Rhinolophus ferrumequinum: one gene and its partner. The protein of the gene in region 1 interacts with the protein of each later gene in a biochemical or structural test. Links are inferred from orthologs where the notes say so. Each region holds a gene or a part of one and is shown on either strand. Other genes may lie near its edges. The genes, in order: CLSPN and USP20.

The links.
Region 2: of the proteins of CLSPN (region 1) and USP20, one has a biochemical effect on the other in vitro, tested with the Homo sapiens proteins (2 studies listed by BioGRID, with this or other methods). The link is inferred for Rhinolophus ferrumequinum from reciprocal best matches to the Homo sapiens genes CLSPN and USP20.

The regions. Positions count from the first base shown.
Region 1 is NC_046292.1:24,819,877-24,827,690, reverse strand, and holds the start of CLSPN (claspin), read left to right. Parts: upstream 1-4,482; 5' UTR 4,483-4,603; coding exon 4,604-4,627; intron 4,628-7,756; coding exon 7,757-7,814.
Region 2 is NC_046295.1:78,218,584-78,226,982, forward strand, and holds the start of USP20 (ubiquitin carboxyl-terminal hydrolase 20), read left to right. Parts: upstream 1-5,166; 5' UTR 5,167-5,296; intron 5,297-5,313; exon of another isoform or gene 5,314-5,419; intron 5,420-8,399. Other genes in the region: C12H9orf78 (splicing factor C9orf78 homolog), read right to left, coding at 769-867, 973-1,109, 1,794-1,991, 2,760-2,837, 3,356-3,426, 3,646-3,697, 4,522-4,581, 4,915-4,997.

The DNA of each region.
Region 1 (7,814 bases):
GTGAGCTAGGAAGTGGCAAACTTTTATTCTACGTATTAACTTGTACCAAGCTAAAGTGAGTCTGTGTTTGAAATTAGTGACCTATATTCTCAATTTTGATGAATGGTACCACAATCTGTCAATTTACCAATCCAGAAACTTAAGAGTCATGAGAGCCACACTGTCTCCACTGTCCCTTGTCCCTCAAGGTTAGTCATCTAACAACCTTGTCAATTTTGCCTGTTTTTTCCCAGTCCATCTCCTCCTCTCCATTGTTACTGTCATTGACTTAGTTCAGGTCCTTATAGTCTCCCACTTAGACAACTGGTCTTCCTGCCTCCAGTCTAATCCCCTTCCAATCCATCCTTCAGATGCTGCCAGAATAATCTTTCTCAAATATATATCTAACCATGTCACTCTCCTTCTTAACAACTCTCCCACCCCCCAGCTACCCAGTTCATAACTGTCTACAAACTAAACTTTAAGCATAGCATTCTACATTTTTTCTTCCTTGTTTAACTTTCACCCATCCCCATCCCCCACCACACATATATACACACCCAGTGTTCTAGTCATACTAACCTACTTTCAGTTCCTCAAACACAACATGCTTTATCAAGCCCCTACACATACCTGGAATGCCTTCTCCTCCCGTGCCAGCCTGGAGAACTCCAATCTATCTTTGAAATTCAGTTCAGGAGTCATATTCCACGACTTTCCCCAGGCAGTCAGCTGCCCCTCTCTCAGGGCCTTGCAGCTATTTGCACATACTTACACTATTATACGAGCTTATTTGCTTGCCTATCTCCAGCCAGCAATGGAAACCTGAAAACAAGACTGTAGTTTATTTACCTTAATATTCTCAGTTTCTAGCATAGGCTTAAAATAGGTGCTCAAAGTTTGTTGAATGAGTGGGTGAATATTTTATAGGTACTTTAGGTTGCCAAAAGTTGCGGTAAAGGAGCTTTGTATGCTGATACAAAAAGCTGATGGTGTGTGTGCCGTCATGCCTTGGCAAAACGCCCTAGTATTTTTTGTTTTTGTTTTTTAGGCCATGGTTTCTTAGTCATTAATTTCACAATTATTTATTAAGCACTCATTATGTGTCAGCTCAAGGGGTACATTAAGCAAGAAAAATAGCCCTGGCCTTCAAACAGGGTACTCTTCAAGAGAAGCTTTATAACTACATGGAATTACAGTATGAATTTTTTAAAGCAGATTCTGGGAGATGCAATTATTTCACTGTACCAAAGGAAAGCTTGAACAACTCTGAATAACTTTTAAATTAAAAATAAAAAAAAGGGCAAGCCCGGTGGCTCAGGCGGTTGGAGCTCTGTGCTCCTAACGCCGAAGGCTGCCGGTTCGATTCCTACATGGGCCAGTGGGCTCAACCACAAAGTTGCCGGTTGGACTCCTAGACTCCGGCAAGGGATGGTGGGCTGCGCCCCCTGCAACTAACAATGGCCACTGGACCTGGAGCTGAGCTGTGCCCTCCACAACTAAGATTGAAAGGACAACAACTTTACTTGGAAAAAGTCCTGGAAGTACACACTGTTCCCCAATAAAGTCCTGTTCCCTTCCCCCTCCACAAAAAAAAAGGTTTTACCATAGGATAGAGTAATAGATAGACTGACATGACCAAGCCCTGCCACATGGTGGCAGTGTGTCTCCAGGAATGAAGACTCAGCGGCCTAGGACATTAGAAAAGCAAGTAGTTCTCACACTTGACTCCAGAGGAATAGCAGCACTAAAAATATAACATGGTAGCCTTTCTCGATTTGCAGAAAAGATGAACTAAAAGATATAATTTAATCAATGTTTTCCCTCCAAACTTAAGCCTTTGGAATTTGCTTTTGTTTGTCTGTCAGCAAGCAAATATAAATAGAATTTTGGAATGAGCTGAGCATGTTACATTCCACGGCTTATTTTTTCAGAGACATATAATCTCAGAATTGCTTTTCTATGTTGATTTTGGGTAATATGATAGATAGATCCTACTAGTGAAAATGTTTCCTAATTTACATGTCCAGATCAAGTGTGTCAGTACTGCAAAGTGTTTCCTAGAGAGTACCTTAGTTCCGGATGCTCTGCCAATTAAACCCATTTGAGAATTATGATCTAATCTATTGTTTTCTAATAACAAATAGAGTAAAACAAGGCTCTGAGATGCTAAATGACTTCTCTAAGGTCACAAAGCCATTTACGGGACAAGTTCACTGGCTTATCCCTGCAAAGTGAACATTCAGACCTCTCTCTTACTGTCATCCATCAACTTCATAAACAGAACTTGTTGGATGATTAACTTTGAGAGACAAGAGACAGAGAGGAGCCAATGTGACTCCCAGTTTTCTGAATTGGTGAGTTATGGATTATGGTGCCATTCATCAAAGTTGAGAATACAGATTGCTAATTCCAAATACAGACTCTCTTTAGCTTGGCACAAGTTAATACGTAGAATAAAATGCTTTCCCTTCCTAGCTTACCCCTTCCATCCATCGTCCAAATCAGACTGATTTGGACTGAAAAGGAGCTCTATAAAGAGAAGCAAATGCTAATAAGGTCTGAAAATGCTAATAGCAGGAGTACTATCTCATTTATTCACTTCCAGAGGGGGTTCAAGAATAATAATATAGTTTTCAAATGACTGAATTAACTAGTTCAACAATTGACTAAGCCCTTTGCTCTCCAAGTATGGTTTCCATACCACCAGCATTAAAAATACCTGGGAACTTGTTAGAAATGCAAATTCTTGGGCCTCACATGAGACATACTAAATGAGAAAATCTGGGAGTGGGGTCTAACAATCTATTTTTATCACCCCTTCAGATCATTCTGATGAATGCTCAAATTTGAGAATGATTTTTCTAGATAGTGAGGATATGGTGTTAAAGAAAACAAAGTGCTTGACCTCTTGGAGCAACAATATACAAATAGATAAAATTTTACGCAGAGGTGAGCGTTATCAGGAAAACCAAAACAGGGGACAGAGGGAGAACGTAGGGGGTCCTCAGGCAAGATCTTTCTGAGGAGTATGAGCTCTGGAGTCAGACTGAAGAGAGTGTGAATACAGGCTCCACCAGTTACTAGCCTTCTAAAGGTTTAATTTCCTCATTTGCTAAAATGGAGATAGTAATATTACTTACCTTACAAAGTTACTCTGAAGATTAAATAAGATAATGGTTGCAAAATTCTTGCAACTGTTTCTGTCACAGGGTAACCCCTCAATAATGTTGGCTCTCCAAATATGAGGGAGGAGTGTATAGATGTATATTTGGGAATTATCACTTAAAAATTAATAGCAAAGTGGATGGAAAGACTGAGATGTGAGAGAAGAGGATGGATGGTAGGCTCTTTTTGGTGGGGGCAGAAGTGGGTTGAGAAGTGGTGAGGAGGTGAAGAAATGAAGATGAGGAGAGAGAACTTTTATCCTAACCCAGCTAAAGGTGGAAACTTGGAAGAGGAGGCCAGTGGATTGGGTGACTATCCTGGTTTGCCTGGGACTGTAGAGAGTCTCAGGAGGTGGGACTTTCAATGCTAAAACTGAGAAAGTTGGGAAAATTGGGATGAGTTGGTCGCCCTAACAGTGGTTAGGGCCATGGGGGGTGAAGTGGAGGTGATAACTACTGTGACCTTTCTTTCTTGGTTCCCTTTGATCTCCTGCTGACAATAATTTTGTGAAGTACCTACCAGTAGTTTGACTCAACCTGACGCCAGACGGCAAGGGAGCTCAAGAATGCAGTGGGGAGAAGTCCACTTTGGCTGGACAAAGCAGGATAAGGAAAGACAGAGCATGGACCCGGATGGGCAAAAACATAGTAAACAGCACAGTGACAAGGGATTAGAATTGTCTGGAATTAATCTTATTCCATACCTTTTATTCTTTTGCCTGCCTTGTCCAAAGAGCTTAGGAGTGGGATGGGTGGGTGTTTTCTGCATCCTTGAATTAACCTTAAATAAAATTATAAAGGTTATCCAACGATATTCTTTAGTATCTGAGCGGCCCGCAAAATTTTACTTCCTTGATTTTCAGTGGTGTGAGTGCTACCTGTATGTACAAGAAGGAGCAGGTAAGATGCAGAGGCTCCAGGGATGGAGGTCCTGGAGAAAATCCCCACAAGGCCACTAGACTATAGTATGGGATAGGGATGCCCGCATGTGCCCAAGAATTTTCTTCCAACTTACTTCCTGCTTGGAGGGCTTACTCCTCATATTGCTGCTTGATGGGAGCTGTCGCGCTACGGTAAAGATCAAAGGTCAAATGCCACCACTTGCACAGTACTGTCTAGCAAGGCCAGAGGGCCCGACGGCCAGGTGGCCAGAATACCTCCAGCCGCCCCGGGGCTCAGTAGGCAAGGGGAACCGCGACCCGCCAACCCAACCCAGATTATACTTGTAGAGCTGGTCGAAAGCGCCTAGTGATTGGTAGGACCGACTGGGGGCGTGGCTTCATGTAGAAAGCCTCCTCTGGATTGGTGCAAATCATCGAGGGCGGGGCCTCCACTCTGGCTAGGCGCGAAAGCTCGAAAGTCGCTGCCGGGCTGGAGACGGCGGGAGCAGCTGCTCAGCCGCTGAGGGAACCGGAGACCTGTTTCGTATTGAACGCAGTGCTGGGGAGACCGGAGTCATGACGGGCGAAGTGGCTTCTGAGGTGAGTTCAAACACATGCCTCCATCCGCGGCTGCGGAGGCTGGGCGCTGAGGGGTGGGGTGGAGCAGGGGTAGTGCCTGGCAGAGCGGGTCGCGGAGTCTGGGAGGCCTACAGCTCCCGGCGTGCACCGCGGGGTCTCGGCCTCACGGCCAGGGGATAGACTCCTCGACCCCTGGATCTCCCGGTCCAGTCCCGGTGCTCGGGTTCCCACGTCTCGGTCTTCTGGGCCATGTTGCTCCTGGTCTTTGCGGCGCGCTCAGCGGACCGCGCAACCCCTCAGCCTGCGCCGCCCGCCCTCTCCTTTGGCGCGTTTCCTGCCATGGGAGCTCTTCCTTTTCAGAGGGCTCCAAAAGAGAGGAAGGCCCAAGCCGAACCGGGCCGCTGGGATGCGGGGCAGAATTCTCTGTAGGTGGACGGCGAGGTCTAAGGGAGTTCATAAGAGGTCATCGCGCCGACTCCGAGAGGGGAAGTACCAGTCTCTAGGCCTCCGGGATGGTGGCTGGCTGATCGCTGGCGGAATAGGGTATAGAAACTAGTTTCCAGTCCTGTGTTCTTTTCTGAGGCTGATCTAGAGTGAGACACTCACCTTGGGAGCAAAATTCAAGGAGACGCCAAAACACTCAGTAATCAAGATAATATTTTAATGCGACATTAAAAAAACAAATGAATGCAAAAAAATCCCAAAATGTCAAACGTAAAGACAAAATCTGACTCTAAGTTAGCACCCCTCAGCCTCACTTACCTCACCCTCATTCAGGCCCTAGTTTCAATAAAACTTTATTTACAAAAGCAGGCAGCTGACCTCATGATTTAAAAAAAATATATATTGCCTTAAGATATTATCTTGATTAGTGAGTTTTTTGAGACCCTCTCTTCTCACTTAGGTCCTGGCCCTGTCTTTCAACCGTTGCTGGTACTGCTACAAATTGCCTAGAATACAGTAATGAACATCACCATGTATTGAGCTGTGTAGTTACCTACACTCAGTTTCCAGACCCACAAACAGAACTAATAGTCTCCCTGCTTTGGATTGTTGGGAGGACCGTCAGCACATACATGGTGATCCTCAGTAATTCTTTAGTACATGTTATTTTTGCTTATTATTTTAATAATTGTACCAAGCCTTCAAATCAACTTAACAGTTGTTGGAGAAGCCTTTAGGGTGAGGCCTTGTCCTCTATTACATGACAGATATTAATATTTTTCACCTTATTAAGTTGATTCAGAGCCCTAAGGACACTAAGGAGGTTAGAGACCTGGCATCTAGGGTAGCTTGGTCACTAACTGATCAAGTCACCTCACACACCTCTCCTTAGATTTTTCACTTGTGGTGTTTAAAATGATTTGTTTGGAAATTTTCAAACATACCAATGTAGAAGGGCTAGTAATGAACCGATCACCTAACTTCAACAATTATCAAATCCTGCCAGTCTTGTTTCATTTATACCCCCACCCTGGATTATTTAGAAGCAAATTCTAGACATTATTTCATCTACAAATATTCCAGTATGCATCTCTAAAAGACAAGGGCTTTCCAAAAAAGATAACCACAATATTATTACCATACCTAAAAAATTTAGAATTATTGCTTAATATTAAATAGCTAGTCAGTGTAGATTTCCTTCACACATACACACACACACACACATACACACACTCACACTCACTCTCACTCTCTGTTTGAATCAGGACCCACAGAAAGGCCGAATATTATGGTTGTTGATATGTGTGTATAGGTCCCCCTCCCTCTCTTTTTTCTTGCAATTTATTGTTAAATCACATTGTAGAGTTTCCCACACCTGGGTTGCATCTCTGTGATGTTATTTAATGTCATTTGGGTAGACTGAGAAACAGTTCACATAGAAAAGGCATAATAAATGCTTGATTCTTTTCCTTTATTTACGGTTATAGTACCCCCACTTATCCACAGGATATACTTTCCAAGACCCCCAGTGGATGCCTGAAACTGCCATAGTACTGAACCCTATATATACTATGTTTTTTCCCTATATATACATACCTATGATAAAGTTTAATTTATAAATTAGGTGCAGTAAGAGATTAACAACAATAATAATAAAATAGAACAATTATAGTAATACACTGTAGTAAAAGTTATGTGAGTGTGGTCTCTTGCTCCAAATATCTTAATATAACCATTCCTTACTTGCCGTAAATGGCTTGGTGTCACTTGTTTCGGGGGATTCCTTGCTGAAGTGTTCATATGGGCCCAGTGCTTTCTGGTGCAACACATTACTGTCAGTTGGAACGTGTTTTCTATTCATGTTTTCCACCCACAAATTTAATGCCTTTCCCATCTTAATTAAGCACTTATCCAAACACTGTGGCTGTAACTTTTGCAGTTTGAGTTGCTACAGCAAAAGCAGCACAAATTTCTTTTTCCTTCTCTACAATTTCACAGATAGATTAGTTCTTACTGCAGATCTTAGCAACCTCAGCATATAATGTTTTTTTCTTTCCTTATTAAGTTGAGAACTTTCACCTTTTTACTTAAAAGAAGCACTTTATGGCTTATCTTTAGTGTGTTTAAATTGTCAACATCACTGCTGTTGCCCTTTGGGGCCATTATTAAGTAAAATAAGGGTGACTTGGACACAAGCACTGTGATATCAGGACAGTTGATCTGATAACTGAGGCAGCTACTAAATGACTAACAGCTGGGAAGTGTATACAGTGTGGATATGATGGATAAAGGGGGGATTCACTTCCTGGATGGGCGGGGCGGCATGGTGTGAGATTTCATCATGCTACTCAGAACAGCATGCAGTTGAAAACTTATGAATTATTTCTTGAATTTTCCATTTAATATTTTCGGGCCACAGTTAACCACAGGTAACTGAAAATCATGGAAAGTGAAACTGTGGGGTAAGGCGGAGGACTACTGTACTCAGAGTTGTTTCTGTAGTATCTTTCAAAAGTGAACAATGAATTTTTGTTTGTTTTTTGTCCAGTAATTCTTAATGTCATCCTTCGTTGAACCATTGCGTTGTTTTTTTGTGTTTTTTTTCCCCTTATTTCATCCTGATGACCCCATGATGACTTGTGTATAATTATGTACTTAAAGTTTTCTGTTAACCTGGTTAATGCAAAGTATATTCTCACTTTCTAGGTTCACCTAGAAATCAATGATTTAAAACTCATTTCACAAGAAGAAGCAGATAGTCCTT
Region 2 (8,399 bases), on another chromosome or scaffold:
TTCGAATCATCCCACTGTTGATAAAAAAGATGAGCCCTCCTGGTGCCGGTCAGCTTGTGGGAAGGGGCACTGTCGGATGCTGAGAAAACACATGAGCATCACACTTCTAGACTATCGGCTATCATTTGGCGACTTATTAGAATGTAGCCTACGGACATGATGTCATCAAGAATGACCACCGAAACACTGTGTAACAAAGGAAAAGTGAGAAACCACCTAAGTGTCCAACCAGAGGTAAACGGATAGACTACAGTGGATCTGTCTATGCAATGGAACGTGACATGGCCAGTGAAAAGGAAAGTAGGTATTTACTGTCATGGACAGACATGCAGGGTGCAGTAGTGAGTAAAACGCTATGAGACCCCAGTAAGTGTATATACAATGTTTCCTAGATGTGTGAATATTGAAGAAGTCTGAAAGGTTATACATAAAAACGTTAACAGTGGTCATCTTTGGGTGGTGAAATTATAAATAACTTTTATTTTTGTTTATTGAAAATTTTCTAATTTTGGGGGTCTCTTTTATATTTGACAGCCCAGTGAGTCCTCAGAGCAACCCCAAGAGGTAGGTTTTATTACTCTCCCAATTTTATAGATGAGGAAATTGAGGTTTGGAAAGGGGAAGGCACGTGACCATAGTCCAGAGCATGGACTGAAACCCAGCTGCTCTGGCCCCAAAGCCAAGCTCCACCCCTACCAACTTCCACCCCCTCCATGGGCCCTGAGCAATGTGACCGCTCCAGGGAGCCGAGGCCTCTGCTGTACTCACGCTCGGGCTCCGGCTTCTCTGTGTCACCCACTCTCAAGGGTCGGGCTTTGGGCTCTTCTTTGTTTCTCCGAATGGGGGCATTGAGCTCCTCGTGATAAACTGGACCAAAAGAGATCAGCGGACACGTCAGACAAAAAACATGGGAAGCAGGGGACCTCAAACCAATGGGCGCAGGAGCGGGGCTGCTTCCCCAGAGGAACTTACATCGGTTGTGCTGCACGTAATTCACCGCCATGTTGGTGGGCACGAAAGATGTCTCACTGTCCTTCTTCTTGTTCTGTTGCTCTGCCAGGAGACGGGCCTTGGCATCCTCCGTGGAAATGATATTTTTTATTTTAGCACTATGGGAAGAAAGGAGCCATGCCACGCATTAGATCACCACACCTCTGGTCCTCAGAAGGAAATGCACGGTGAGACTGGCAGCCTACCACTGCAGGAGGAAACCGTCTTTCTTGGGGCCTTATGGCCACATTCTCAGGGAGCTCTCACAACTATTGGAGAGGTGGGGAGTTATCCTCTTCTGATCAAGAGGAAAGTGAGCCTCCAAGTAAAGTGAATGGTCTAAGGCTTGAAGCCAGAAAGGCCAGAAAACAGGCAAGAACTCAGAAGTCTCCCAACTTTCTACTACACCCAAAGATGTTTCTGACCACTGTATCTCCTCCACAGGCATCCCTTTCAGAGCAGATGTTCTGTAGTAAAAAAGATAAAGATTACGGGGTGGCTAAGTCTTTAACATTGCTCCTGCTAGAATAAAACAGAATACAAGGGCCTGTGAACAAAGGCTAAATAAAAATAAACACTGTTGCTTTCAGCAGTCAGGGTCCCTAAGTCTCTTTTACGACTCTGACCAACTCTTCAGAGAAATTTTTGGGACCACCATCTCAGCCCACCAGAGAGAATACAGTTTGTGTAGGTTTCCAAGGAAACAGGTAAGAAACAGTCCCCTCAGCTTTGAACTGGAAAGCAGAGAGCTCTTCCTCCAGCCTAGGGGCAGGGGAGAGGTAGATCGTGGGTTTGAAACATACTCGATGCCCAGGTCCACCTCAGGGATGCCGCTCAGCATCTGGTTGGAAAGCATCTCCTCAGTCTTTTTTGCTGAGGAAACACGGATGTTTTCTGGAAGCTCGTAAAGACAGTCCTCTGCATTCTTCGGTTTCACTTTCTGTTCCTCGTGTTCCACAATCCCTTTCCTCTTCTTTAGCTCCGTCTCAATGTACTTCATCCTGAAACGAGAAACCCACAGGTCTCAGGGAGGGGCAGAATGTTCACAACGGGCGTCTTTTAAATTAGTGGTCCCCAACATTGGCCCATGGAGCAGTGATGGTCCATGAAATCTTCATCAGCCCATGGAGAGGTAACAAAAACAAAAGTAACGAGTGTTTTCATGAAGCTAAAATTTGCAACTTAAAAGCACCAACTGATGAGATTATGTCCTACACTCTACTGGCATTATTAAACATAAGGTTCTTCGAAGACAAAAAAATAATTGTACCGTATTTCCCCGAAAATAAGACCTAGCCAGACAATCAGCTCTAACGCATTTTTTGGAGCAAAAATTAATATAAGACCCCGTCTTATAGTAAAATAGGACCGGGTCTTATATAATATAATAAACCCGGTCTTATATTAATTTTTGCTCCAAAAGACGCATTAGAGCTGATTGTCTGGCTAAGTTTTATTTTCGGGGAAACATGATAGGTGGTAGTTGTTTAACAACCTTGTTGGCAAAATAAAAAGTGGGTAGTCTGATGTTTATCTGTGCAATGTTTTAGGGAAATATTACTAGTCAAGGAATCTAAAATCTCAAGAACCACTTCTGAAGAACTTTTAGGCATTTTTCAAAGTTTTCCAGCCTCAGATATGGAGGCAAGAAGGGCCAACTTTGATGTCTTTGGATAATTCTAGAAATGTCATCTGTGACTAAATATCTTGGACTGTATCTGGTTGGAGCCCACCCTCAATTGCTCACAGTCAAACAGACTGACACCTACATGTCAGCGTCCTCGTCCCTTCGGTTGGTTTCTGCAGAAAATGACGTCCCCAGGTGGAGGTCTTCCTCTTCACTAATCCTAAAAGGAGAGGAGAGTGAAGTGGGCCTTCGAGTCACAGCTCAGGCTGAGTTTTATGTTATAGCAATAAGACAAATATGCATGTTTTATCATCCTGTTTATAGTGGGAAAAATATATATAGGATACGTAAATAAAATCAATATATGGAAGTGAACTGCTGGCCTCTGGAGATTCCTCTGGGGAATGAACAGATATTTTATTTTTTACTCGTGTATTGTTTGAATGTGCTATTTTTATAATTGTGCTTTTTTATGTTTCCTTAAAAAAGAAAAATGAAACATCCACATGGGTTTGAAAGACAAAAAAACAATGCACCTTTACAAAAAGAGTGTACCCACATCTCTCTATGCTAACTTTTAAAGAGTTTTTGTGTTCTTTCGTTTTGAAACCCTGCACAAAGCACAAAGGATACTTGAAGATGTCCCGCTAAAGCTACTACTGCAGGCCAGCTCTCTGGGGCACACAGACCCTAGCAGGGATACAGGTGAATCTGTATGTCAGTGTGTTCTGCACTTACTTATCTTTGCCCCTTTCCTTCAGTTTCTTCATGTCCACCATACCGCCTGTCTTCATCTGAAAGGGATCATCCTGCAGAACACAAACACAGCTAAGAGGAAACATCTATATATTAGGTTGCTGAAAAAGTAATTGTGGTTTTTGCAGTTATTTTTAACCTTTTAAACCACATTTACTTTTGCACCAACCTAATACTTGGCAGTGGATTTTTTCTTTTTTTAAAGAAAACACCATCACTCATTGAAGAGCATCCACATCTTCCCACTGCTCACGGAGGACCCCACAACTTACCACTAGAGTGGTCTCTTCTTGTACCTTCTCTCCCACCAGCAGGGCCACAGCACTGAGCAAAACCAAAAAGGGAAGGTGGGTAAAAGGGAAGGAATGGCATAGTTTAGAGATGTGGAAGAACGTTTAGAAAGTTTGTAGGTTGCAACATTAGTGCAAGGGTGAGATCTGAGGGATGGGCGCCAAAGCCAGCTGGAAAAGCCTGCAAGAATGAAATAGGGCTCAACAAGCACTTTAGATGCTGGGGGCGGGGTGAAGGGGTACACTTTCCTATAAAGCCATTTGGCATTATCTTGGCTTGGAAACATCAGTTCTAAGATTTTGCCTTCAGGGAAAATAAAGCTAAAGACAAATGCCGGAAGATAGATATTGCAGCCTTATTTGATGAAAGTTTACAACACAACCTACAGGTCCTCAAATAGGGAATGAGCTAAATTATGGGACATGCATTTGGTGGAATGTTATGCTGCCGTTAAAAAGGTTTTTGGGAAAATAATCCACAATGTGAGTGAATGTCCGCAATGTCATAGAGTTGAAAATAGCATATAAGTACCTACTACCCTTTACAAACCAGAGAAAGAATACAGATCGGAAAGAACATTAAATGATAACACTGGTTACCTCTGGGTGGGAGAATTACATTAATAGGTGCTATTTACTGACCCGTTTCTGCACCTTCAGAGCAAACCTGCAGACCACACCGTGCAGGGCATCTCCTGGTTAAATATTTTCAAAGAATGCTAGACCCCTTTCAGGGCAGTGGAAGGTGTACAGTGTGTCAAGAAAAGGGGCTATGTCTGAGGAGGTATGTGTGACAGCGACCGGGGCAGGGGCGTGTCTGTCATCCCTTGCTCCTCCAGGTTCCCCCGCGGTACCCACCTCACCCCGTTGGGCCGCTTCCTCAAGTTCTGCACCTCTCGAGTCTCTTCCAGTTTTAATCTGAAAAAAGGCAATACGCAGGCTGAGAGACCCTCCGCAGAACTCAAGAGTCAAAAAGCAGCTTCGACCCGTGCCCCAAGCCGCTGCTGAGCCGCGGGCACAGTGGTACGGAAGGCGAACCTGCGCCAAGACCCATCAGATCCACTGCCCATCCCGGAGACAACTCTCCTAACTGCGCGGCCTTGGGGGTGGCGACCACATCACTAGGACCCTCAACTTCTCCCGCGACAACAATCCCGGCTCATAGCAAATACGGTCAACGAGGCTCCTGGCCGGTGGTCCCCAAGTCGGCCTCTCTTTTCCTGCCCCGCGGAAACCCCGCCCCAAACGCACCGAACCTCCTCTGAGTCCTGCTCATCTTCCTCCGACTCCGAGTCGGCCCGGCGCCGGCGGAAAGTCTTCCCGGTCACCGGCATGACCGCGCCAGCCCTGCGGTCCAGCCGCTGCGCCGCTGCGCGAAGGCCTAGTATGCTTCCGGCGCGCAGCAGTGCGGTCAGAGCGCCGGCTCCGCCTGGCCCCGCCCCAAGCCCTACCTGGGCCCGCCCCGCCTGGCACCGCCCACCTGGCCACGCCCCCATTGATGGTGTCGGCGTCTTCCGATTGGGAAGCCAAGGAAGAGAAGGCGGGGCACGGCCAAGCCGGCCCCAGGACCCTGCGCGGCGTAGCGGAGGGCGCGTTTGACTGACAGGCTGAGGCGGCGAGGTAGCGACGGCAGGTGAGTTCCTGGCTGCGGCGGGCTGCTTCGGGGGGCCTGGCCTCTCGGAGCAGGGGCGACCCAATCCCTGTTCCGGGCCGGCGGGGGCCTGGCCCTGCCAAGTGCGCTGGACGCCGCGGCTAGGTGAGCGGAGCCCGGGACCCCCCGGACGCTGTCGCCCATTCCCCTCCTCCGTCCAGCGCCCAGGGGGTCCCTTGTGGTCCCGTCGCCCTACTTCGAGCTCCCGGGGGCTCGCTGCTTCTCCGGGACAGGGGCCGCCATGTCCTTTATTTCTGCCAGGGCCTGATCCAGCGTTGAAAGCACGCATGTGGCATTCGGGGCGCTGACTTATATTTCCCCGGGGTCTGGGCCCTGACGTGTTTTTTTCTCTTTAGGGACAAAAAGATGACCACTTATTAGCGGCGGTGAATTAAAGCCCCAGCGCCGACTGCCCCGCTAATAATGACCTCCAGCCACTTCTCCCCGAGGAGAGGCGCGTCTGATCTTTTGAACCCACTCGGGAGGGTTTTGAGGACAGAGGGCCCCTCCTCGGGTGCTTGCCGGCCGTCTCTCTGGACCTTCGGGGGCCTTGTTTTCGTCCTTTGTCACGCAGACTATCGCTCTACCTTTTGCCCCTTTTACCCCAGGGATGCTGTGAGGATTCAGTTTATTTGAAAAAAGGGCATAAACAAACGCTTAGGAAATAACTCCAGGCATAAATAGTGGCTTTGCTTTCCTCAATCTCGGCTGGTCCTTTCCTTTGACAAAGAATTAGCTGTTATTAAGCACTTACTCTGTGGCAGGTACTGGGCTAAGCATTATCTCATTGAACTCTCCCAACAATCCTATGAAGTAGATTCAGTTATTTTTCACTTTGCAAATGAGGATACCGGGCTTCAAAGAGGCACGTTTTGCAGTGCCTGGCACAGTAAGAGTTCAGTAAATGTTTGCTGAAGCTGCTGTTATTATAGCTCTTTGGCTGAGGGGAGGTACTGGTGGAGACTGTTTGGGGTTCCCTCTTTGGGAAGACCATTCGGAAGCTGGGCAGCATTTATGGAATGCCTTACTTTTCTCTGGAACAGTCTCCTCTGAGGTTGTTGTTCTCTCCCTTGGACTGAGACAAATAGTAGACTCAGGACTTCTTGGAACCTTTTGGCTTTGGTCAAAAGCTGCTCAGTAGCTGCTGTGTGACCTCCAGCCAGTTACACCACCTCTCTGAGCCTCAGTCTTTCCTCTTTTCGTGGTGGAGGTGGAAATGGGTTTAGCTCCCAATGTGGCCATCCCCCAGGGTGGTTATGAGGATTTAGTGAGTTCTCTTAATATCAGTTCCAGGATGCAGGGGCCATTTGGGTGGAGGCAAGGTGGGGAAGGCAAATGAGGAGAACTGGAGATGCGTGGGAAGCAGGACTTGCCAAGGCAGGAGGTGCCTGAGGGTTCTCCTTTGAGAATCAGAAGGATGGTGGACCCTCAGTGAATTAAGACTGGGTTAAAAGAAGGAATGTATTTGGGATTTAGGGAAAATGGAGCTGCGTGGAAGTCTACTGGAGAGAAGAGGGCAGGAGGGAGGGAAAGGGTACATGTTCTGAGGGGCAGAGGGGTGTGGGCGCGGGTGTGTGGGGTGTGGCAGGGCTCATGTGGTGAGGATCAGGGCAGGTGGGTGTCCTTATGTTAATGGGGGGTGTGGCAGTGTCACCTTTCCTGTCCAGAGGAAATTGGCTCCTGGCTGGGAGGACGATGGAGCCAGAACCTCCAGGAAAATGATGAGTAATGGGCACCTGAGGCCTGGTCTCAGCAGCTGGTGCCAGGCCCGGATATGCTGCCTGCCTGCCGCGTCCCTCGGGAGGCACTTTCCTCCTCACTCAGTGAAAGCCCCAGGGAGGGAAAAGTGCCTGTCCTTATTCCGGATGAAGCATCTTGGAAGCCTCACCCGGTCCTTGAATGCACGGGCTCTTTGCCAGACCTGCCATCCTGCCTCCTTTCCTCCTGCTTGTTCATCCCCAAGAGAGGAGGCGGGTCTGGTGGGTCAGGAGGGAGATGTGCTCTGGGATGGGTGTGGAAAAAGCCTAACTCCTTTGGCTGGCGATTTGGGCACCAGCTGTGGGGCGGGCACCGCACAGACTCCCGACAGCACAGTCATCCAGCTGCTCTCGAGAGGTCCTGTTCCCAGCATCCGGTTCTCTGAGGAGTGCAGGTTTCTTCCCCTTTCAGTCTTATGAAACGCCTACTATGTGCACTCCATTTATTTGCACAGAGGGAAGGTTGGGAAGGGCTATGAACGCAGATACACCTGGCTTACTTCTAGCTGTGTCCCTTTCTGTGTGGCTTCCCATCTCGGAGCCTCCATCCTTCCTCTCTAAGATAAGAAATAGTGGTCCTTACCTGAGTGTAGGGGGACCACTGGGCATAGTGCCTGGCTCAGAGTAGGCGCTGGATCCTGGAGCTCTGTTGTGGAGTTAGGGTTACCTTTTCCAAAAGACCCCCTCCCTGCTTCCACCTGAAACAAGAGGAAGGGAATCTTTAAAAAGTTTCTATTTAAAACAAAACAAGGGGGCCAGCCTGGTGGCTCAGGTTGTTGGAGCGCCGTGCTCCTAAGCTGCAGTGGATGGTTCGATTCCCACATGGGCCAGTGAGCTGCGCCCTCTACAGCTAAGATTGTGAACAACGGCTCTCCCTGTACCTGGGCTGCCACGAGCAAGAGGTCCTTGCCATCTGCTATGGGCTGCCCTGGGCTACCATGAGTGGCCGGCGGCCAGCATGAGTGGCTGGTGGCCGGCAGACGGGGAGAGGTGACCGGCGGCCGACTGCATCAGCGGAGGGCGGAGGGGAGCGCAAAGCTTTTAATACCAGCATGTCCCAGGGAGCTGTGTCCTACACACCTAGACTGAGAAACGATGGCTTGAACCAGAGTGTGTGTGTGTGGGGGGGAGGTGAAAGAAGGGGGGGAAAATAAGAAAATAAAAAATAAAACAAAAAAAATCAAACTTACAAGAATAATAATGAAATCCCATTCATACGAGTCACCAATTATTATTTTTGCCGTTTACTCTTCCTATATTTATATGCTCAGAATCATCATCATTATTGCTGATCCATTTAAAAGTAAGTTGCAGATATCATGACCCTT